Nothobranchius furzeri: one gene and its partners. The protein of the gene in region 1 binds, or shares a complex with, the protein of each later gene. Links are inferred from orthologs where the notes say so. Each region holds a gene or a part of one and is shown on either strand. Other genes may lie near its edges.

The links. The genes of interacting proteins can lie anywhere in the genome.
Region 2: gtf2h5 (region 1) and gtf2a1 share a complex: the UniProt entries of both Homo sapiens proteins name them as parts of the TBP-based Pol II pre-initiation complex. The link is inferred for Nothobranchius furzeri from reciprocal best matches to the Homo sapiens genes GTF2H5 and GTF2A1.
Region 3: gtf2h5 (region 1) and polr2k share a complex: the UniProt entries of both Homo sapiens proteins name them as parts of the TBP-based Pol II pre-initiation complex. The link is inferred for Nothobranchius furzeri from reciprocal best matches to the Homo sapiens genes GTF2H5 and POLR2K.

What each region holds. Positions count from the first base shown.
Region 1 is NC_091742.1:2,690,613-2,697,885, forward strand, and holds gtf2h5 (general transcription factor IIH subunit 5), read right to left. Parts: upstream 4,394-7,273; 5' UTR 4,254-4,393; intron 4,063-4,253; 5' UTR 4,038-4,062; coding exon 4,003-4,037; intron 3,905-4,002; coding exon 3,724-3,904; 3' UTR 3,589-3,723; downstream 1-3,588. Other genes in the region: protein SERAC1, read right to left, coding at 5,446-5,582, 5,697-5,840, 5,925-6,107, 6,256-6,353, 6,585-6,685, 6,815-6,956, 7,059-7,209. UniProt on the Homo sapiens protein: Component of the general transcription and DNA repair factor IIH (TFIIH) core complex, which is involved in general and transcription-coupled nucleotide excision repair (NER) of damaged DNA and, when complexed to CAK, in RNA transcription by RNA polymerase II.
Region 2 is NC_091742.1:19,635,508-19,644,555, reverse strand, and holds the start of gtf2a1 (transcription initiation factor IIA subunit 1), read right to left. Parts: upstream 5,477-9,048; 5' UTR 4,499-5,476; coding exon 4,469-4,498; intron 4,003-4,468; exon of another isoform or gene 3,887-4,002; intron 3,230-3,886; exon of another isoform or gene 3,102-3,229; intron 275-3,101; coding exon 173-274; intron 1-172. Other genes in the region: N-acetyl-D-glucosamine kinase, read left to right, coding at 5,889-6,059, 6,129-6,216, 6,289-6,386, 6,467-6,545, 6,626-6,825. UniProt on the Homo sapiens protein: TFIIA is a component of the transcription machinery of RNA polymerase II and plays an important role in transcriptional activation. TFIIA in a complex with TBP mediates transcriptional activity.
Region 3 is NC_091759.1:1,438,882-1,446,385, reverse strand, and holds polr2k (DNA-directed RNA polymerases I, II, and III subunit RPABC4), read right to left. Parts: upstream 4,148-7,504; 5' UTR 4,016-4,147; intron 3,812-4,015; 5' UTR 3,806-3,811; coding exon 3,745-3,805; intron 3,490-3,744; coding exon 3,397-3,489; intron 3,296-3,396; coding exon 3,273-3,295; 3' UTR 3,177-3,272; downstream 1-3,176. Other genes in the region: stk3 (serine/threonine-protein kinase 3), read left to right, coding at 4,683-4,705, 5,397-5,477, 5,567-5,695, 5,793-5,907, 5,997-6,161, 6,256-6,423, 6,504-6,641, 6,725-6,850 and 1 more. UniProt on the Homo sapiens protein: DNA-dependent RNA polymerase catalyzes the transcription of DNA into RNA using the four ribonucleoside triphosphates as substrates.

The sequences.
Region 1 (7,273 bases):
AGGGAAAATATCAGCAGAGGCAGAGAGAAGGCAGAACCATGACAAGCGCCTCGTGATTTTTATCTTGAGAGGCGCTGTAGAAATGATATTTTCTTCTTCTTTCTTCAAAGACCTTGGAGGCATCTAAAAACACATAAAACAGTTGAGTTTTTGTATTTGAAGCTACTTGATAGTTACTTTAAAGCATATCAGTGCGATGTTTAGGCTTAAATCCAAATTGATTGTCAGTACACAGTATCAATTTGTCCAATCTTGTCAGTGGTATTTCTTCAAAAACCCTAGAGAGTATGCTTGCAAGAGCAATGGGCCTGTAATTATCTGAGCTGCCTACCTTCCCTGAATAAATAAAAATTGGTCAACAATAGCTGTTATACACATGCACAACATAGTAAAAATGTTTATTTAAATACCAGCAACAAGTAAAGACCTTAAAAATGTTGACATAAGCCTCAATGGTGGTGTGACAGCAGTGTCTGTCACCTCATGGACATGGTCTGCTGGTGGTGTTTTCTGTGTTCTGTCCAGGATGACTGGTTGATGTGCACACAATCAGTCTTCTGTTTATGAATGTATGTGTTAATTTTGTGTTTCTGTTTTGAGTTACCAGTGACTTGGAGTTTCCCATGGAGTCTCACACCTGCAGCTCATCTCCTCAGGAAGCCTAATCGGCACTCCTGGGATCTACCAACTCCCAAGGGAGGGGAGATTCATGTTTATACTTGTGTCAAATTTAATGTAGATGTTTTCTGTTATGGATAGGAAGTTTGTAATTATGATTTAGTTATTTGAGTTACCTGAATTGATTAGACTGGTTAGTTTGTGTGTGTGTGTGAGGATGTGTGTGTTAATTGTATGTTAATTGTTCCCCTCTTGTATGTAGAGTGGTCTGATCAGCCACTATTTAAGTTGAACCTGGTGTGTCTGAAATGTCTTTTGTTTTCTGGAGATGGTCTTGTGCTGTGATTGGGTTAAAGTTTCTGTTACCTGTGAAGCTGCTCCAAAATAAAATGGAGGTTTTTGAGTCTCATGAGTAGTGTGTCTCTGGCTGGTTTGGGCAAGTCCCTGACAAGTGGGTCCCCACCCCCACCAAACACACATTCTAATACATTTTTCACATAACAGACCTCTCAGTAATGAGTAAACTACTTTTCAGTATAATTTTACCTTGGTGACAGTCGATGACTATCTGTAACTCAGAAATTGTTTTGACAAATCTTTTTGCAAAATCAACCCAAAGATAATCTCTGATCAGTACTTTCAAAGTCATTGTTTGTTCTCTTGAATGTGGCTTTTAGTTTTTCATTTTGTCGTCTGATCATTTTATTTTCAACCAGGAGAGGGCGCAACAACACAAACTACATTTTGAACAGTGCATTTACACTATAAAATATCAGTGAAAATATCAATTTTTTGCAGTGAGACAATAATTTGCCTTGGTGGAACACCCGCTCATGACAAGGTCATGAATGCAAACACATGACAAAAACTAGTCCTCTGAGCAGACCAATTGATTAAAACTCATTGAAAGTGTGGTCATTTTTACAAAAAGAAACACACTAATATATACAAAAATAGCACTTCATGTGAAAACTTTTTCTTAAACTGAGGTTTAGGGAGACATGAGTGCTGCATAAAGTTTAAATTGATGTAAAAAGTATAAATAAAACCATGTGAAGAAGCAGAGTTTCTCAAATCATGTCGTATTTCAGAAATTCAATTCAATTCGTTTATTTATATAGCGCCAAATCACGACAAGAGTCATCTCAAGGCACTTCACTTAAACATTCCAATTCAGGTCAGTTCATTAAGCCAATCAGAAAAAATGTTTCCTATATAAGGAACCCAGCAAACTGCATCAAGTCACTGATTAGTGTCAGTGACTATACAGCAATCCTCATACTAAGCAAGCATATAGCGACAGTGGAGAGGAAAACTCCCTTTTAACAGGAAGAAACCTTCAGAGAATCCTGGCTCAGTATAAGCAGCCATCCTCCACGACTCACTGGGGATGGAGAAGACAGAGCAGGCACACACACACACACAACATATATACGAAGTAGTGTTTCTATGGTCACATTGTGATTTCTAAGTAAATATTCTATTTGGTGAGAGATTAACTTCATTGTATTTATCCTAGTGAATCTATAATTAAATGGGTAAACTAGTAGTAGCACATCCAATGTCAAAGCAAGTAAAAATTTATTATCAGGAGAGGGAAAAATGGTTAGCAGCAGTTTTCAGGCCGATGGCTACCACATGAGGCTACCACAGCTCAGCAGAACATCATTGTAGCTTCTTCTGGGGAGAGAAAAAATAAAGTTAACAGCTGAAATAGCAGAAAATAATACAGTTAAAGAGCAGATTGTAGAAGAAAGTAGTCGAGTTTCCAATTTATTTCCACAGAAATTAATTTAAAGACCTACTGTGCCACTTTAGTTGACAGATAATAAAAATTACATGACAACACATAAGATCGTACTTAGAAGGAAAGAAAAAAATGCACAATAGCAACCTAGACAGTTGGTAATTAAAAGTTACCAAAAACTTTAAACTGAAAAACCTGGCTGTACTCGTCTTGTTCCTCCTTCCACAGATACAGGTCCTGCTGATGGGTGAATGATCTTCAACAGCCCTGTTTAGCTCTTTGAGAGTTACTGCTCTCCTCCAAAAATGTACTCCCCACTCTTGAGACTGTGCTGGGTGATGCATCAAACCTTCTGGCAATGGAACATATAGATGTGTCATCCTGGTGAAGTAGGACTACCTGTACTACCTTTGTAGGGTCCAGGTATCATCAGGTCCCAGAGCCTGCAAAACCATTCCACAAACAATGTAATGCTTTGTGTTGAACCACTGCTGTCTTTATATTTCTTGTTCTTTCTGTCATTCCATGCTGCTCTCTGACAGTCCGATGGTCATTTAACCACTGGAGGAAACAACTGTGTTACATTACTGAAATGCTCGGATGTAGAATTTGCTCGTTTATAAAATTTCTATCCTCAGACATGTTAAAAGTACATTTGCAGTTTCTGTCCACCTAACATAACATTAGGGACACTGTCTAGTGTTAGACTTTTCACAATTATAACTGTATCTCTGTCATTTCATTCATCAATAGAACAAACTGAAGGTGGCAAAACATTTTAAACAGGGAAAACTCATTATCTCAGTATTTCATTAACGTTATGAGATTTGTGAGAAATGTCAATTTCTTCTCTGGTTTCTATCTGAAAGCACTAATTGAATCCCTGATATCATAAAAACAACAATTGAATTATTTTCTCACAATAATTACTCTGTTGTAATGTACCTCTTCAAATGCCTTAGGTAACTGTGAGGTTTTGTTTATCATATTTTTCTCATTTTGCTCCTGCCATGAATGTAATTGCTAGGCTGGCATGCCATTCTAGATATGTACATATATTCCTTTAACCCAAATTTCTCCACTGTGGATAAAGGGATTTTCTATTTTTCTATCGGAACTAGATTAAATGAAAAATCTGATTTGGTTAAATTATGGTGTGAATTAACAAGTACTTTTAATAGATTATTTTTGTTCCCCATCTACAAGTGAAAAAGAACTCCACAAAAATAGAAACTTTTTATCCAATTGATCACTTCCACTTTTATCAAACCAAAACATTTACATGTCTCATTTTATTAAGCAAAAGCAAACAACAACAAATTGAGTAGTCCATGAGAGGAAAGTCAAAGATCTGAGGGTTATTTTTGCGTGATGGGGAATGAATTCTGGTCCATTAACTCCCCAACTCTCTCCTGAAGAGTCTGGACCACCTCTGCCAGGATAAAAACGTGTGTGTCGTCAAGATCCTTGATGATGAACTTCTTTCCTAAAGCCATGGTTTCATCTAGGTAGAGGAGAAACTGTTTCATAGCAGGATCACTGAAACAGAACATGGAGAGGAAAAAGACATTATAATTGTAGGAGTTTTCTACAGAAGAAAGTAATTTTACAGTTTTCTTCACTCTGAAGTTCCTTACCATTCAACAAGAACACCCTTGTGAACATTCACCATGATGACAGGTGTAGTTGATTAAAGTCTGCAAAATAAACAAAACGTGCAAAAATGTTGCGACAGTAACATAAATACTGTATGCATATACAACACATATTCATACCGGACAGTTAATGTACAGAGAAAATTCATGAGAAATAGTAAACAAGCTAAAAATAACAAGCTAACAACGTATTTTGCAACACTTTTAAGCAAAACGTTCTAATTAAAACTTACCACAACAACCACAATGTTCGGGAGAACACTAAAGTTGGTAAGAAATCGTGTAAAACTACTCGTTCAGACCCAACAGCAGCTGCTTTTTAAGCTAAGTTCCGTAGCATTGAGGTAAGATCTACGGCGAGCAACCAGGGACAATCTTCCTCTACCACTATAGCATTGAAGGATGCGCATTTTTGCCACTTCCGTTTAACATGTTCTTCCACGCTATCTGGTACATTTCACGTAATTATCTGCTTATATTATAACGATTTCACTGTGATTTTTGAAAAATTGTTATTAAAAATATTTGACGCTCCTGTGCTTTACTCCCAGCCCAATTCCACCAAGTGATCTATAATGCAAGATTTCTGAACAAACGTGTACGTGTATGTACATGCATACATACATATGTATACATGCGTACGTATGCATGTGTGTGTGAGTATTGCACATGTACATTTGTTTTTAACTATTTTGCAATGGATGCTTGTTAAATTACTTTTTGTCAGATTAAGTTAGAAAATAAACACCAAACGATTTCCATTTAACAATTCTGTTGTATTCAGTATTTTAATACATCATTTAATGAATGCATAGACAAGTCAAACTCAACAAATGTACTCATTCATTTGATTTATTCTCATTTCTAGTATATGTTGGCCCATTGTGATGCATAATTAATGTAATAAAATTAATAGAGTTGACCTAATATATTAAATCAGGGCCATTTTAAAAAAGGCTTGGCAAATAATCCATTTGGCACAAAAAACAACACGTTTCAGTAGAATGAATGAATACAAAAATAACATTTCAACCATTACTCTGATCAAAACTACATAGAAGCAGTTTTTAAAAATGCATCTTTAAGTAAATATATATTTGTTGTGGCTGCAAGGTCTAAAATGGAAAGATGGTGGTACTTCTCATAATATGAGTTTACTCGAAACATGACTTTGACCGGTAAAAATGAAAACATAAGGGAGGAAAATGTAAAAAGATAACAAATCAGAGGTTCGGGTTTATCTATCACAGTTAGTAAGTGTGTGAAATAAATGTGTCTGCATTATGATTGTTAACATCTCACATTATGGTTGTAAACGTGTACAAAAAGAGGTTTGGGGTTTTGAGTTTGTTGGTGGAAGGACTCAGTGTTCCTCAAACTTCAAGTAAACAATTTAATGTCACTACTGATGTGCTTGTATGTCTTTTATTGGCTTGTGTATCTCTGGAGTGCTTCCTGGATGAACTGGAGGCTGCGTCTGTAGAGAAACGAGTCCTTCTTCTCTGGTTTGCAGATGTTCAGGTGATCCACATCCACCTGAATGAGCTCTCCGATGCCCAGATCTGGAACAAAACGAGAGATTACTCAAAAAGAGAAGGTAAGAAACTGGATGACAGATTTTTATTATTTTATCAAAAGTATAGCTCATTGACTTTTCCCCACTGTATCTTACATACCTGCTGACTGAGTTGGGACCACAAATATCTTAATCATAGGACCAATATTTGTGGGCAACGTCTCTGCAAAGCTCAGCACTTTGATTTCATTTTCTTTGGCAATTTTCAGAAAACCCTCATTCAGGTTACGCAGAGCTGGGGAGTCTTTGAACACACAGACATCGACTCATTGCAGACAACAAACTATTTAATTCAAGCCATTTTAGAAGGAATGATCACAGCCCTCACCTTTGCAGAGTTCTCTGACTTCTATAGAAGGAAATAGAAGGTATCTGACATTCACAGAGTACTCTGCCATTAAGGTGCCACGGTGAGGAACACTATAGAACATTATTCCCTTAGTGTTCTTTATCAATCCCTGCAAGTCTGGGTCGTCCGCAGCATCCAACAGCATTTTCTTCACCAGCAGTCCTAAGAGGAGAGTCACATCCCAGAGAGCACAGATTGATTATTTTTCCTGAAACAGTCGCACATAGCCAGAAATGTGATCAAGAGATTGTTGCAGAAATCTGGGTAAAAGTCTGACAAGTTTGTGGTAAAGGCAGCACAGACAGAGTACCTCCCATACTGTGAGCTACCCAAACCACAGGCCTCTCTCCAACTCCTGCCAGCTTTAACTTATTTAGCAGCTCTCGACTTCTGTAGGCCAACGACTTCCTGGAAAGACAAACAGACAACTAATCCTCCACTCAATCGACTGGGTTTACTAAAAAAATCACATGAAATTGTAACTTAATTTACTTAATATGACGATATAAAAGGTAAGGATGTAGGATAAATTATGCAGAATAAGATAATTGCTGGACAAAGTTAGATTCAATTCCTATTTAGCCATTTTTTTGTTTTGTTTTTCCCCCACAAATAAGTGAATAAACTAGAAATTTTCACCTTTGATTCTCAGCTGGACACTTGGCCATCCAGTCACTCAGATGGCTGTCATACTCCACTGACAGCACTCTCAAATTTGGGCAATCAGCAGCTAGCCATGACTGCCGATAACCAAGAAGAAAAAGACATGAGAATTAAAGCTTGTATTTCCTCAGGAAACATCAAAATCTGTCCAAAAAAGATCATATTTGGTTTCTTGTGCAGCTCTAAGAATTCTGAGGATCTGTTACCTTTGGCCAACACTCTGTATAGTCATCGCTGCCTTTAGCGTCCCTCTCTTCCTCTAACGTACTGCGGTCCTTCTGCCTCCATGTCTTAAAAGCTGCTCCTAGAATCCCATGAATAAACAGCACGTCTGCTTTGATTGGCTGGCTGGAAATGAACACAATGTCAAAGCTAAGTGTTGCGTTCTACTGAAGAAGAAGAATAAAGCTTTGAAATCTAGAGAATAAATTCAAAAGACAGCTGTTCTACTTGTCACGTGTTTGTGGGTGGAGGATGTAGACACCGTCCTGGTATTTTTCTGTTACTGTATCTCTGTCCAGGTTGGCCAGAGCTCGAGCTGCATGAGACGCCTGCATGATGTGAGGAGACTGCATCATCTCAGCCAACACAGGCAGCCAGCCTGAAGGTGGTTTAAAGATGAAAAAACACGATTACACTCATTATAATGTCAATTTTCAAGCAGA
Region 2 (9,048 bases), about 17 Mb from region 1:
AGATCAAATCTAATCACTGCAGCTCCTTCTGCTCAGTCTCAGAGTACCTCCCACTTATGAAAGTTAGAGGCAGAGACCTGCGTTTTCCATCCATTAAAGCCATTAGTTTGCCTTTTGATTAATGATGGCTGCCCCTGTTGCATCTGGAAACCATCTCCTGCAGAAAACGTACCGTTTTCAGCTCGTGGAGAACCTGCTCGTCCACTCCTTCATCCAGGAACAGCTCCCGTACCTCGCTCATGACATCTTCAATCACAGACCGGTACAATTTAGGCTAGGATGACATAAGAGAAAAAAATTTTTTGTTCAGATATTAACATTATTTATTAACACAATTATTAATTTGGGATAACTAATCACGATCGTGGTGTTTTTTGTTGGTGTAACTTCACTACCAGCCACTAAACATCTTTATTAGACCCTGTAATCCTGTCAGGTCAGCATAAATGCTTGATGGTTCAAGGGGTGGGGCCACGGGGGAATGGCCCCTGCTGAAATTTGACAGGCCCCCTGAAGTAACCCTGCTTGTCACCTTTATACAAAGATCAGATTATAGGCAGATGCAATTCCAAGTCCAAACACTAGTGGTGCTAATGAGCCAAAAAGGAATTTGGGTGTTTTGTTTCACTCACATACTGAATTTAAGCGTGTTGCATTTACTCTAGGAGCATTTGTTAAACCTCGCCTGCTGTGGCATCATCAGTGGCTGTTTTCTGCTTGAGGCACATGCGCGGTGGTGGCCATCCGGATCAGCCTTCGAAATAGAATCACCAGAGCAAGAGACATCATGGCGAGTCGGCAACGTAGCTCAAAGGTTTGGGAGCATTTTACAAAGGCATTGCATGAGCACCTTAAAAGGAAGCACGTCACGGCGGCGAACAAAGAGTCGCCTCTGTAAGCTAATTTCCTCGTTAGTTGCTAACAACAGAGTTACTTCTATTTATTTTTGTGCACAATTTATTTTTGGTTTTAGATGCCTACCTCCATTTGACTGTGTAGCAGGACTGCACAATACCAGGAAAGTCTGCGATACGCGATAACAGTGATTAATATTGTGGTGACAATATGACTTGCAATTAGGGTTGTCACGGTAACCGTTGTAGCGGTAAATCCCGGTAAAAAAGTTGACAATAATAACCGTCTTGTTTTTCAAAAACTATATTATCTCGGTGGATTACTGTGGCTGCGGTGTAGGCGCGGTGACCCTTACCAGCTACCGTATCATCTGCTGAAGTTGCCGGCGGCACATGCGCACTTTGTTGTTTACAACCAAAACTTTTTTGAAGCTAAAGCTGAAATAATGGCCAAAGGAGGAGACGGCAGCGCTCAGGACATTTATTATCCCTCAAAGAAGACAAAGTGGGAAGTACGGACGTTTTTTGGATATTTGAAGAAAGCCGAGGGACAGTTGACAGAAGACGGCTATCCTGTTTGCAGCACGTGCAGAAAAAATGTCTGTGAAAGGCAGCAACGCTTCAAATCTCATGACACATCTGCGTGACCATCACCCACAACTCTACAGTCAACGCAAGGCAAGTTAGCGTTTTAGCTAAAATGCGTGATCCGAGGATTTATGTTGAGGGAAAATGCAACGAGTCGCTATAAAAGCAGCCGCAGCGCCGCTACCTGCATATAAATCGCGGACACCCCCATGTTGAAATGACGCTATGCATTACGGGGCTCCCAGGGGCAGATAAGAGTTGGTCTCTCTCTGAGAATAATTATGAATTTAACAACGATTACTGCCTGATGACATTTTCCCACATCTGCAAATCTCACTGGAAGGACACAAACCGAGGACAATATTTTCCTGATATAGGGTTTATTACTCAAGTAAGGGTAAAAAAGTATCTAAAGGCTACTTGAGTACTGAGTATCATCTGATGTAATATTTTTAAAATGATGACATCAAACAGACAAAAAATAAGTAGTTATGGGCAAATATTGGTATTTTAAAGACAAAAGGGGAAAATGTTAACAAATAAACAACATAATTACAAAATAACACATTTTAGGTAAAATTTAGACAAACTGAGGACAATATTTTCCTGATATACAGGGTTTATTTAGTTGTCTGAAAATGTAACACGCTTAAAAAAATACCGCGATAATACCGAAAACAGTGATAATTTTGTTCACAATAACCGTGAGGTTACATTTTCACACCGTGACAACCCTACTTGCAATAAATAAAAACATCTCAGGAACAAAATATTCTAAAACAAATAAATAAATGAATAAGAAATGGCAATCAGTAGATCCCTGAATCAGCAGATAGAGGCTAACTCTGGTTGTTGCTATCCATCCAGATTAAGTGCCGTCCACCTTCGAGGTGGGCATATAACCTATGAGAACCGACCCGATTGGCCAAATGGGTGAAGAGCTTTGTGTGATTTGTCTAAAACATCATGCTTCCGTTTGACAAAATGCATTATGTTTAACAAACATTTGTGCTGACCTTTCGTTGTGATTTATTTCCATTATTGTCGATATGCGTGTTGCACATACTGACATCGCGGTGATACATTTGCAACCCTACTGTGTAGCATTTGTTTTAACAGGTTACAAAGTAAATTATAAGTTTATTGATAACCTATCATCTTGTCTTTATTAAATGCCACATAACTTATCACATTTCAAACTTAATGATGGGTATTTTACAGCATCTGGTGCAGTAAGCCACTTTTAGGCATGACACGATTCGTCATTTGCGGAAGTCCTACACAATACATTTAAAGGCACACCTGTAACGACACTAATGAACTATCATACACTAAACTAATATCCCTGCCATCAATAATAAAACAAAAGCCAGCAAAAATAATGTGACACAGGTTTTATTTTGAAATATACCAGACGCACTTGTCACTTCCTGTCCGGCTCATGACATCTTTAACTTCATGAGGATGAAATTTGTGTCAATGTTACCTTCTTTCCAACATGATTATTTGACTGTAAAATCCCTTAATATTGTACCTTTAAAGTACTTTAAAACCGGACACACACACACACACACACACACACACACACACACACACACACACACACACACACACACACACACACACACACACTTACTTATTTTTACATATTTGCATTACCGGTCTGATCTTGGAGAGGTTGTACTGAAACTACATTTCATCGCACCAAGACGCTGGTTCAATGACAAATAAAGCAATCCTGTCCTAAGGGCACTGAACTAATACTTGGCTCTTCTATAAATTTTGTGGCCCCTTGATGGGCCCCGTACCCTGAAAAATCTCAGATACGCCCCTGGCATAAATCAAGATTAATGTTTCACAGCTCCATTATAATCCAAACTGTGCTTCAGCATCCGGATCTTATCCACAACCGCGTCTGTCAACATAAACAATTACATAGATGTCCGCCGGGACTGCGTTACTAGCTCAACCGTAGCGTTCAAGTCTGCGGAGACTTTCCAGCCAAGATACCGCCCTGCCTCGATGTCCGCGGTGGACACCTCGGTGCGTCCTTCCCTCCCCCTCGGACAGTCGGTTCCTCCACAAATTAAAGCTCAGTGAAGTGTTTATATGCGGGCCGGTGACGTAGCGTCGTGTAGCACCGTCCCATCCCAGCAGTCTATATTAGACAGCCAATATGGCGGTATAAAGCCAGCCACCGGCAGGGAGGAGGGCCAGAACCGAGCGAGACGGGAGAGGTGGAAGCCATTTTACGGAGCGGCCCCGCTCACAGAGCCGTTTTCTTTCAGCGAAATGAGGCCAAATAAAGAAAGAGGCTCTCGTTTTATGCGTTTAATTGCCAGTTTTGACTCGGTGGCTTTGTTTTGGGAGCAGGACATCGGAGATATCATGGGTCAAAAATGGGTTTCGGGACGCTTTTCTGCGCCTCTGGTCCTGGAATGGTGGACCACGACGAGGCAGCGCCGCGGACTGCGTCCAAGACTTTGCGCTAAAATGGCTTTTTAATATCAGATCCTCTAGTTGAATTTACTTGGAAGTGGATGTTGACGATGTGCTTTGGGTACGTCTGTTGATTAGATGTGCGGTTTCCAATATTTAAGCTCAAATACGTCAGCTGGCTAACAAATTCGTCCAATAATCCACCCTGGGCTAAATGAACGGCACTAAGATCAAACACTGACTCCAAATGATAAACCAAGACTCGTAACAGCCACTGATAAATCACACTAGCGCTAAACAAAGTCTCAACCTGAAGTAATTACAAATTTTCACTTTAACCAGCATTATTTAATGTAAAATCATTCAAAACTTGCCTCGGCAGAAGCTTCTTCAGTGCCATGTTTTCATTTGAATATCTAGTTTCGAATTATGGCTTATTCAAAGTTAGTATTTCCTTTATAATTTCACTCAGGAGTGATGAGCTAGTTCAAGCATATTCATCTGAAAAAAACCCATCTCCTCCACATCCTCTAGACAACTTTACCCCCGTTTCCCCCGACTGGCAGTCCGTTGAGATTGATCCTTACCACTGGGTTCGAGTTAGCCGAGCTCGCCATTATACGCGTAGTGTAAAAACCACACGGAAATAGGCGAGAGACAGAGCCAAAAATGACCAAAAAAAGACTTAAAACAACTGGGAAAGATCGTTTAGAACAGCCGGCATCACTTTTGTAAATAAAACACAGTTTTCACGGTCTTATTTACAGTCCCGGGCTGCGACTCCCCAGCCGTCTTCCTCTCGCCGCTGTCCTGCTTTATATACTGAGCGAAGGAGCTGCGAGTGCGCGAGACATAGGGCAGGTTCAGACAGAAAATCTCGCGAGATTTTTGCGGAATTTGATGACTAATCAGGGTGGCTGCTTCTGGGAAATGTAGTTTTAAAGCGGAAAGCCTGACATTAAAGTTTACCAGGCTTTTTAATGCAGCGTGCTCTGCATTATTATTGGTTCAGTTAGTTTAACGCTAAAGAATACGATTTCACTGCCAGGAGGAGTATTTGATAATTTGATATTGAGTTATATAGAAATAATTAATGCTTTTAAATGTGAGAATATTTTGTTAAATTGATAAAATATGAATCTTTAATTGGATAATACAGTATAGATTTGTTTAGGGTATTTCTATTTTAAATATCATTATTATTATTATTATTATTATTATTATTATTTTCTCCAAGCCTTTTTACTAATAAAAATGTTATTATCCAATTATCCACCGAGTAGAATGAAACGCTTTAAGCGCTTGAGCAGTTCTTCGCCCAACAGAAAAGGAAAATCCTCAATGTCAGACACAAACACTGGGTGTCTCGCAGACATGCCACCCACCGAAACTCCAAGGAAAGCTACAGACGACAAGGCCATTGGATCTGGAGTTAAAGGATTGAGATCCACGGCGCAGGGTCTGAGCGTTAAGACACGACCCTGTTCAGCTGCACGCAGCCAAGCAGACACTCTCCCAGAGAGAACGGGACATGATGGTGAGGTCCGAACCAGAGTCCAGGATAGCCCCACAGCCAAGCGATCCCACAAGGTTCACTGGGATGTGAGGTTTCTCCTTGGGAGCTTTACGGATGATATCACAGAAAAACTTAAGTGGAGGTTTGTCTGGTAAGTAAGGATTACCTGACCTGCTAACAGGTGCATTGGATGCTCGAGGTTTAGAGCTAACGGAAGCAACCTCACCAAACCTCACAGTTGCCACAGGACACACCGTTGGGGCATGTTTCAGTTTTGGAGGACTCGTCGTTGCGACTGAGTCATGTGCAGGTTCAACAGGTGCAGGAGGATGTGCACTCTGTTCTGCAGAAGAGAGGAGAAGAACTCTGTTAGTCTTTGATGGGTCTTCATCCAAGACATGAAGGGCATATTTTAACGCTTCGCGCATGGTCGCAGGAGGCCTGCAACCGGACTCAGCTCTTGACCTTGAAGCAGCAGGGCTGTGGTCAGCATGGTCGCAGCACGGCACAGTGGTTACCACAGTGATCTTAATCATATCTCTTCTTCAGCTTTCTGGATCGCTCGTTTGGCCGTGAAGACGGTGTTTGACGCTCAAGACAACTTGGTGGCGCCTCCTTATGACATCACATGGGTTACAGAAGCCATGGAGGAGAACTTCCAGGTCAGACAGCAGCAACACAAAGACAAATCTGTTCTTTTAAACCCAGAATAATTAAAACATTACTCCCAGGTGTTGGATCTGATGGGAATGCTTCCTCACCTCTGCAGGAACTTCCAGAAGTCCCACTTTGCTGGCTTCTGTAAGAAGCTGGCTGAAGGTGAGCAGCAGCAGGACTTCTGCTCAGGTTTCTAGGACAATAGAGTGTCATCCTGAGTGTTTTGTGTCCCAGGTGCGGAGGCTGGGGATGCTCTCAGCCAGCATGTGTTCGCTCAGGTTGGCAGAGTTCTGGCTAAACATGTAGAGTCAGTTTTACCTGCAGCTCAACCGGTGACCACACCTACAAGCCTTCTGGTTTCACTTTTGCATGTATGAAACTGGAGCATTTCTCTTCTGTTTTGTTGTTTAAGGCGTTATTAAGGTGTGAGCGCGGCCTGCCAGTCCTGTGTGTGGGCTCCGTGTGGAAGAGCTGGTCTCTCCTGAAGCCGGGTCTGTGTCGCTGATGGTAATAACGGTCCATGAAACCCTCTGGATGAAGTCTCATCTGCATGTTTTATGTGTTTCTGCAGGGTTCACAGAGGTTCTGGAAAAAGCCGCATCATCAGACAAGTTGAAGGACCGTTTCCATGGCTACAGCCTCCTGACTTTACAGCAGTCCTCTGCTTTGGGCGGAGCTAGCCTTGGGGTTCAGAGTTTAGGTTCCTCCATCCGTATGGATTACTCCACCAATGCTGATGTCTTCTATCAGCACACCTTCAACAGCGGATAGTGACTAAAGCACCAGGCCACTTTAGAATTACTGGAGCTCATAACTCTTTCAATCATGAATGATTTTGCACGTGATTTGATCCAAGGTTTCTTTTTAAAGATTGTTTTATCTTGGCAGCTTCTTTAACAAGAACTGGTGGGACCTGAAGTTTATTGTTCAAACTTTTATGTGATGTTTTGGCCGTGAAAATCCTTGGTTTTCACCAGAATTGGCAAACATAATACATGAACGAAATAGAGCTTGGAACAAGGCAAGAACAACAGAGTTGACTACTGACTGGTCTGTTTTCAGGCAGCTGAGAAAAAAATGTACTTCCCTGATCAAAAAGGCAAAATCTGAATATTTTCTATCAGTCACCACAGAAAATCTTAAAGATCCTCAGAGATTCTGGAAAGTGATCAAGTCTTTTGCTGTGGAAAAGATCTCTCAGGCTCTTCCTACTTTTGTTCTTAGAGATTCAGTTCCAATTTATAACAGACTCGAAATCTTAAATTGTTTTAACGAACATTTTCTTTCGGTGGGTTCCCTGTTTAATTTTGTCGGAACCCCTTTGATAAAATCTGGTATAATACCCCCAAATTTTTCTGGAGCTCCTTTTAACTTTAAACCTTTTACAGTGCATGAAGTTCACAAAGCTTTAAAAAACATAGATCACAGAAAGCCACCTGGACCTGATTTTATAGAACCTTATTTTTTAAAGATGGCAGCGGATTATGTGGCAGAGCCACTTTCAATTCTTTTTAATCTTTCAATTAACTCCAAAGAAATTCCATCACAGTGGAAGTCAGCATATGTTTTACCATTATTAAAAGGAGGAGATCCAGCAGTTTTGACAAATTATAGGCCAATATCAAATTTAAGTGTGCTTTCCAAGATAATGGAGTCACTTGTCAGTGTTCAGCTAAAAGAGTTTTTGTCTATAAATGACATCCTCTCGAAATGTCAATCGGGTTTTAGAAAAGGGTACAGCACTACTACAGCTGTTATGAAGGTGGTAAATGATATTATAGTAGCACTTGATAGGAAACAGTTTTGTGCCTCACTGTTCATAGACCTGTCTAAAGCTTTTGATACCGTTGACCATGCTATTTTAATAAACAGATTACTAAGCCTTGGGTTGTCAGAGCACTCAGTAGCATGGTTCTCAAATTACCTGACTAACAGGACACAGTGTGTTAAATGTGAGGATCTTTGCTCTGATCTTGGGGTTGTCCGGAGGGGGGTGCCCCAGGGCTCAGTCCTGGGGCCCCTCCTATTTATCTTGTACATCAATGACTTGGGCCAAAATATTAAAGATGCTAATATCCATTTGTATGCAGATGACACAATCATCTATTGTTTTGGAACATCACTTTCTCAGGTTGTTGAATCCTTGCAGAAAGCATTTGACTTGGTCCAGCACTCACTGCATCAGCTAAAGCTAACTATTGGTCATTTAAACTCATGATTTACAATAAAAATACTGGTGATTTGCAGAAACTTTGTGTTTTGTTAAAAATCTTTAACCAGTAAACATCTGAGATGTGTTAAGAGCAAGGAGGGGAAATGATCCACCGGAGTAATGCATCAGTAAGACATTTTAGAGGGTGATGGATGACAGTAAAACTCAACAAGCACCACAATTTAAGAGAGATTTTATTAAAATAATGTTTCATTTCCATTAATTGTGGTATTCTTACTAATAATAATGATAAGTGCTGTTTATTTATTACCATATTTGCAATTATTTTAATTATTTAAAAAAGAGTACAACAATCATTTGATCTTCTGAGATGAGATTTAGGGTATTTATCTGTACACAAGGTGTTGTAAAATAGTAGCCTAGTGAACTAGACCAAACTCTTGCTTTGCAAATATATTATTTAGTCTGGCTTGCCAGGCTAGTAAAATAGATAAAACCCACTAAATACTTTTAAGAATGAAAAAAATATTCTGTCTTCATGTTTACGACCAACCTGTCAACACCAATTTAGAGAGCAAAGTCAAACTAAACAAAAACCTTACAGTTTCTAACCATGGAGACATGCTTGAATAGTGAAGTGACTTTGGCAAGGACAAGTAAAAAAATCATTGATCCACCAGCTCTTCTAATGGTAAATATATTATTTTCCATTAATCTGAGTTAAATATGGCTGGATTTGCTGCATTTACACAAGAAAACGTATAAAATTGTCTTTGATAACCGTGCAGTGATCAGGCTGGGCCGCTTGGGGGCGACAGAAA
Region 3 (7,504 bases), on another chromosome or scaffold:
TATAAATGAGTGTCTAATCATGCTGTAGATATTTGTAGTCAAAAATGTGGCACTTTGGTGCAACTATCTCAACATGTTCCCCCCCAAACATTGAGTTTTTATTATTTTCAACATACTGGTTTACAGTGTAGTATTTAGTATTGAGTTCAGTGCAGTTAAATTCAAAGATTTAAATGTTTTTATCAAGCATTTGACCTAAAAATTAAAGGGTTAATATGAACACGCATAACCAGATCTATATCTATATAATTACACTTGGGGGTTAATTTAATCTATTAAAAACATGAAAATATGAAGATTTGGCCCTTAAATTGTATCAGGAGTAATTAATTGGCTAGTTTTTTGTTATTGTTTCCTCTGCTTTTAAAATTTTGTTATTCTTTGCACCTCTTCCAATGAAAAAAATATGGTTTAGATAACAAATTAAGACTTAAAAATCATAAGCAAGTGAAAAGAGTTACAAGTTGCTGTTTCACTTGTTAACATACTGCGTCTTCCTGACTATGTCAATTCATACTTTGCTATTCCTAGGCCACTTCTGATTTGTACACGACAAATCGTCTTCATACTCCAGGGTTACTTGTGGAGTACCACAGGGTTCAGTGCTTGGACCAATTCTTTTTACTATATATATGCTCCCAATTGGTAAAATCATTAGACAGCATGGGATAAACTTCCACTGTTATGCTGACGATACTCAGCTATATTTATCCATTAACCCTGATGAACCTAATCGGTTGGGTAGATTACAGGCTTGTCTTGAGGACATAAAACATTGGATGACTCTAAACTTTTTGCTTTTAAATCAAGACAAGACGGAAGTTCTCATCTTTGGACCAGAAATCCAGAAAAGGAAATTGCTTAGCCAATCGCCTGACCTGAATGGCATTACATTAATCTCCGAGAACAAAGTAAGGAACCTTGGTGTTATCTTTGACCAGGACATGTCATTCAAATCCCAGGTTTCACAAGCTTGTAGGACTTTCTTTTTCCACCTTCGGAATATTGCTAAGATTAGAAGCATCCTTTCCAGGAGTGATGCTGAGAAACTAGTTCATGCATTTATTACATCAAGACTGGATTACTGTAATTCATTACTTTCAGGAAGTCCACAGAATGTAGTCAAAAGTCTTCAGCTTGTCCAAAATGCTGCAGCTAGAGTTCTGATGAGAATTAAAAAGAGAGATCATATCTCTCCTGTCTTAGCTTCCCTACATTGGCTACCTGTTAAATTCAGAATAGATTTTAAGATAATCCTTCTCACATATAAAGCTCTTAATGATCAAGCTCCATCATACATCAGTGATCTGATTGTTCCATATGTTCCTAACCGAGCAATTCGCTCTCAGACTGCAGGTCTACTGGTGGTTCCAAGAATATCTAAAATTAGGATGGGAGGCAGATCTTTTAGTTATCAGGCTCCTCTCCTGTGGAACCAGCTTCCAGCTTTAGTCCGTGAGGCAGACACTTTGTCTACTTTTAAGAATAGGCTTAAAACATTTTTATTTGATAGGGCCTATGGTTAAAATCTGATGTTAGCCTAAATCTGGACAATTGGGGGAGTAGAGGGAGGTGGAGTGTACAGTCGGTAAAGACGGCTCTCCCTTGCCCTGACTCCAACATGCCTCCAACTAAATAGGATAGATTATCCAGAGTTATCTCTGTAGTTATGCTGCTATTGGCTTAGACTGCTGGAGGATACACTGACCACTTTTCACACTCGACTACTTTCTTCTACAATCTGCTCTTTAACTGCATTATTTTCTGCAATTTCAGCTGTTAACTTTATTTTCTCTGTAAGTGTTTTTCTCCCCAGAAGAAGCTACAACAATGTTCTGCTGAGCTGTGGTGGCCTCATGGAGGGGGCCATCGACTAGCACACTGCTGCTAACCACTAAAACATTATCCCTCTCCTGATAATAACTTTTTGCTTTCCTTGACGTGCGATGTGCTAATACTAGTTTATCCGTTTAATTATAGATCCACTAGAACAAACACAATAAAGTTTATCTTTCACCAAATAGAATATTTACTAAGACATCACAATATAACTATAGACACATTACTTGTCTTTGTGTGTGCGCGTGTGTGAGTATGCGTGCGCACGTGTGTGTGTGTGTGTGTCTTTGTGTGTGCGCGTGTGTGAGTATGTGTGCGCACGTGTGTGTGTGTGTGTGTGTGTGTGTGTCTGCTCTGTCTTCTCGATCCCCAGTGAGTCGTGGAGGATGCCTGCTTACACTGAGCCAGGATTCTCTGGAGGTTTCTTCCTGTTAAAAGGGAGTTTTCCTCCCCACTGTCGCTTTATGCTTGCTTAGTATGAGGATTGCTGTATAGTCACTGACACTAGTCAGTGACTTGATGCAATTTGCTTGGTTCCTTATATAGGAAACATTATTTCTGATTGGCTTAATGAACTGACCTGGATTGGTATGTTTATTATGTGAAGTGCCTTGAGACGACTCTTGTCGTGATTTGGCGCTACATAAATAAACTTGAATTGAATTGAATTTGTAAAAGCTAACAAAAACCTTTTCTTCACTTAAATATTTTTGAGTCAAACGTTTTTGAGAAACTGATTTTCTTTCCACATTTTATTTAGACACTTTTTTTACAATCTTCTTCGTAACTAAATATTCTTGTTACTAATTTCTTCTCTTGCATGTTTGATTAAAACAAGTCTCACTTAGAAATGAGACCCCATAATTTAACAAGATTATGAAAATTTTAAAATAAACACGACAACGTGCTCTCAGATAAACAAACCAAAAAACATTGGTGAATCTGTGAATTGTTGGCCAGCAGATGAGAATTTTCCTTCTTAGAGAAATGTGGTTAAAACTTTGAATTTAAATCCTAAAGGTTGATTTTTATTTCAGGAATGACTGTGGATCATATCTATTTAGCAGATGTGTTAAACTAACTGAAGAGTTTTCATCCTGTTAATGTTGCTGGCCACAAAGGATTTTAAAAGAAAACAGTCAAATCAAACTGATTTTTCTAAAATAAAACTTTTATGCATCATTATTATTTACTAAAATAACATAAGGAACACCTGACACAAACCGCGGATGCCAAAAACCAAAAAGGCTGAATTTATCTTGCTGCTCTAAGATGTTTCAGCAAGAAGTGCAATTTAGGAATGCCACGACCCGAATGAGCGAGAATCTACACCAACATGAAAGCTGAAGCCCCAGTTTATGTTTATTTACAAGGTCAGACTCAATAAAAACAGAAAACAACAACTAAAGATCAATCTGCAGCTCCACTCCTCTTCATCGTGCATCAAAAACAACCACTGGAATCAATGAGTCAAGGAAAATAAGCACACACACACACACACACACACACACACACACACACACACACACACACACGAGAGAGAGAGAGAAAGGATACATCTCTTTGTTCTCTTCTTGTACATGATTCTGTAGCCACATTCTCTGCATCTGATCGGGTCGCGGGCCTTTATTTCGTTTTCAGTGTGACACTCTGCATAAAAAAAAAATATATACATTTATAAAGACATATAAATGTATTTCAGAACTGCTGCAAAATTAATTTAGAACAGTATAATTGTGCAAACACATTAACAATCGACGTTTACATGCTGTCAGGCTAAAATGGAATATTTACTAATAAGAAATATGTTTTAATTAGTCATAACTAGTATTTTTCTGATGACTTTTCTATATTTCGTGAATAAAACCATCAAGAATTGCAATGATAGTTGCTTCATCAGCAAACCTCCACAAATGTAGATCATTGGTTGCTGCTTGGGCGGCTGTAGATCTTTCTGTGTGTCCATTTTGTTCTATAAAAGACAGAAATGTAAACATTTCATCAACAACCCTTCTTCTTGTTAGCATGCTAACAGAAACAGCATGGTGCTCCGGACATTAGCTCAAAACTGCATAAACGTCTCTGAATTTGGTGAAACTGTATACGCACAGAGCACAAATTAAACCGTGTACATGCATTTAGTTAATTACTGATGAAAGGAAGCGAAATGACTCACCGTTTAACTGCGTAATTTGGGAAATGTTTACTGTTTTCACACACTAAACCATCCGCTTTTACGATTGGGTTTCTGCGCTTGCGTCAAATTTCTTCTTCTTGGTTTTACAGGACGATCGACACGCTTTACGTGCCTTTACTGTCACCCAGCGGTTTTGAGGCATTGTGAATTATTCGAAACACATCTGAACTGATTTTAAAAATTGGAAGCAAAGAATTTTTTTTTGTATATTTTATACTAAAAATGTTCCTGTCTTGACACAACATCCTCTTGAAAGCAAATCCACAACACGGGTGTTTCATTTTTCAATTACCGTTACGCTACAAATTCTGGCTTAATTTAGTATTCTTTTGGGACCTTATGAATAAATTAGACTTTATTTAGAGTTTTTGTTTTTGACTCGAGCCAAACATTGTCAATCTGATTCGTAATTGTGTTTTTGTAAAATAAAACAATGTAAAGTGCGCTTCCGTCCCGACAGGGGGCGCTGTCGCAGCGTCGAACACAAGAATGTCCATCATTTGAAGAGCTCCCCCCAGCTGGCCCTCCTCCACTAGTTTGTGACAACAACGAATCTGCCGACAATGTCCACGTCTTGACTACCACTGACAAACCCGCGCTCTCTTTTTCATACTTTGTTTGACTTTTGTTTCCGAGTTGGTGTACCATGGAGCCGTCCGCGCCTAAAAGGTTTGTGAACGTTTGCTTTGAGACCTCTGCTTTACCACCAGGCTAATGTAGGCGGTAGCTCAGGATGCTAATGCTAAGCGAATTCAGTTCTCTCAAACTTTCCACAGAGATAAACAAGCAGAAAGTAAAAACACAAAACCGGTTAAAACCTCCATTGAGATTATGGTTTGTTTAATTGTTTAGACGTTTTTGGATTTCGCGTCGTTGGGGGTGATTTCATTGTCGCTTCAAAAATATATAATAAATTAAATGTGTATTAAGGAAAATCATAATTTATTCGAAGTAACTGTTTACTTTATTTTGGACCGATCTATTTACTGGTTAGCTTAAGCTAGCACCTTTTAAGTTAATTAAATTTAAAATGTATTTAAATTTTATAAGACAGTAGGATTAAATTGTTTATTATCTGTTTAATTTGTGTACATTGATACTAGGTTGCATTAAATCCAGATTATGATCAAAGACCAAAAATATCTCAAAATTTTTTTAAACAGTATTTTTATCTAGATTTCATCAATTATTTTCATCATTCCTCTTAAGTTATAAACACACACTCAAGTTCTCCTACAGAAAGTAATGTTTACTCTATAAAATAAACTTTGATGTGCATATATAAAGAAATATTGTGTCTTTCTTCCATTATTAAAGAGACATTGTGTTAAATACACAATATTTTTGCTGAATTTTTCAGCAAGCTGAAAAAGCTGAGCGAGGACAGCTTGACCAAGCAGCCGGAGGAGGTGTTTGATGTTTTAGAGAAACTTGGTGAAGGGTGAGATGTTTTAACTTGATCTAATTACTGTGTAAATCATAGTTTATTTAGTAGTTTCACTTAAAAGATGCATTTCTTTGTGTAATCAGCTCCTATGGCAGTGTATTTAAAGCCATTCATAAAGAGTCAGGGCAGGTGGTGGCCATCAAGCAGGTTCCTGTGGAGTCTGACCTGCAGGAAATCATCAAGGAGATCTCCATCATGCAGCAGTGTGACAGGTGACACCCCAACTTTCTTTAATTCTAATGAATGAGACTGTCCAAAGTCGCCTTTGCACCAGTTTTTTAGAACCACGTTTGTTTGCCTTCCTCTTAGCCCGTATGTTGTGAAATACTACGGCAGCTACTTTAAAAACACAGATCTGTGGATAGTCATGGAGTACTGCGGAGCCGGCTCTGTTTCTGACATCATCAGGCTGAGAAACAAAACGGTGCGCGTTTCTAAAAAGTTACAGCTTGGCTCATAAAATAGGTTAAATTGCTGATTTACTTTTGTATTTTCCTTTTTTTCCCACGTCAGCTGACAGAAGAGGAGATTGCCACCATCCTCAAGTCAACACTGAAGGGTCTCGAGTATCTTCACTTCATGAGAAAGATCCACCGCGACATCAAGGCGGGAAACATCCTTCTCAACACCGAGGGGCACGCCAAACTGGCTGACTTTGGCGTTGCAGGACAGCTTACGGTAACACTGTCGCCAAATGTTTGCAGCAATGCACTGATGCCAGCTTCAGTCGATCTCTGGCTGAATTTTGATGGTATGTGTTTAATGTCTGAAGGACACGATGGCAAAGAGGAACACTGTGATTGGGACGCCATTTTGGATGGCCCCAGAAGTGATCCAGGAGATCGGCTACAACTGTGTTGCAGACATCTGGTCTCTGGGTATCACATCCATAGAAATGGCTGAGGGTAAACCTCCCTACGCTGACATCCATCCTATGAGGGTGCGTATTCTTTAGTTTTTAATGAATTTAGGGTTTTAAAAGAAAACATTTGACACTTTCCCACTTTTGATTTCCCACAGGCCATCTTTATGATCCCCACCAACCCCCCTCCTACGTTTCGGAAGCCGGAGCTTTGGTCAGACGATTTCACAGACTTTGTAAAGAAGTGTTTGGTTAAAAACCCAGAGCAGAGAGCAACTGCAACTCAGTTACTACAGGTTGGAGCAAGAAGGTCTTCATCTGTACAATCCTGCTTCCAATCTGAGCGATTTAATTTCCTTTTCCTGTTGTGGAAACGCAGCATCCGTTCATCAGCCAGGCCAAGCCGGTCACGATCCTGAGAGATCTGATCACTGAAGCCATGGAGATGAAGGCGAAGAGGCAGCAGGAGCAGCAGAGAGAGCTAGAGGAGGAAGAGGACAACTCTGTACGTTTTGTTCACGTGCATTAACCAATAAAGTTCCAGTAAAACGTTTATACTGCAGGGGTTTGTCTCCTATAGGAGGACGAGACGGAGGTGGACTCTCACACCATGGTGAAGTCTGGAACCGAGGGCGCGGGGACCATGCGAGCCACCAGCACCATGAGCGACGGGGCACAGACCATGATTGAGCACAGCACCATGCTGGAGTCGGACCTGGGCACCATGGTCATTAATAGTGATGATGAAAACGAGGAGGAAGCCCAGAGATCCATGAGACGTGAGCACATATTTGAGAGAATGAGGGGGAATTTAAACATCTCTTTCACTTTGCTGCGTGAACTTGGCTTTTAACTTTGGTTTAAATGGATGGTGTCGGAAAAACTGGCTTCTTTCCAAAGAGGAAGAAGTGTTAAAACCATGCCCTCGTGACTGCTGATGCTACAAACGTGCTCTTTCACGTCAACCTTTTTGTTTTCCCACTTCACTATAAAGCAGCTCTTTGTCTGCTCTGACCTTCCGTTTTCCCTGAGGCAAACCAAAGCTTTGGGGAAAAAATTCAACACAAGCTCAATCTGCAACAGTCTCAAATTTTTGACATGCAGGATGGAAGCTGGCAGCAGCAAAATTTAGATGCATGTCTGCAAATTTGTTCAGGGC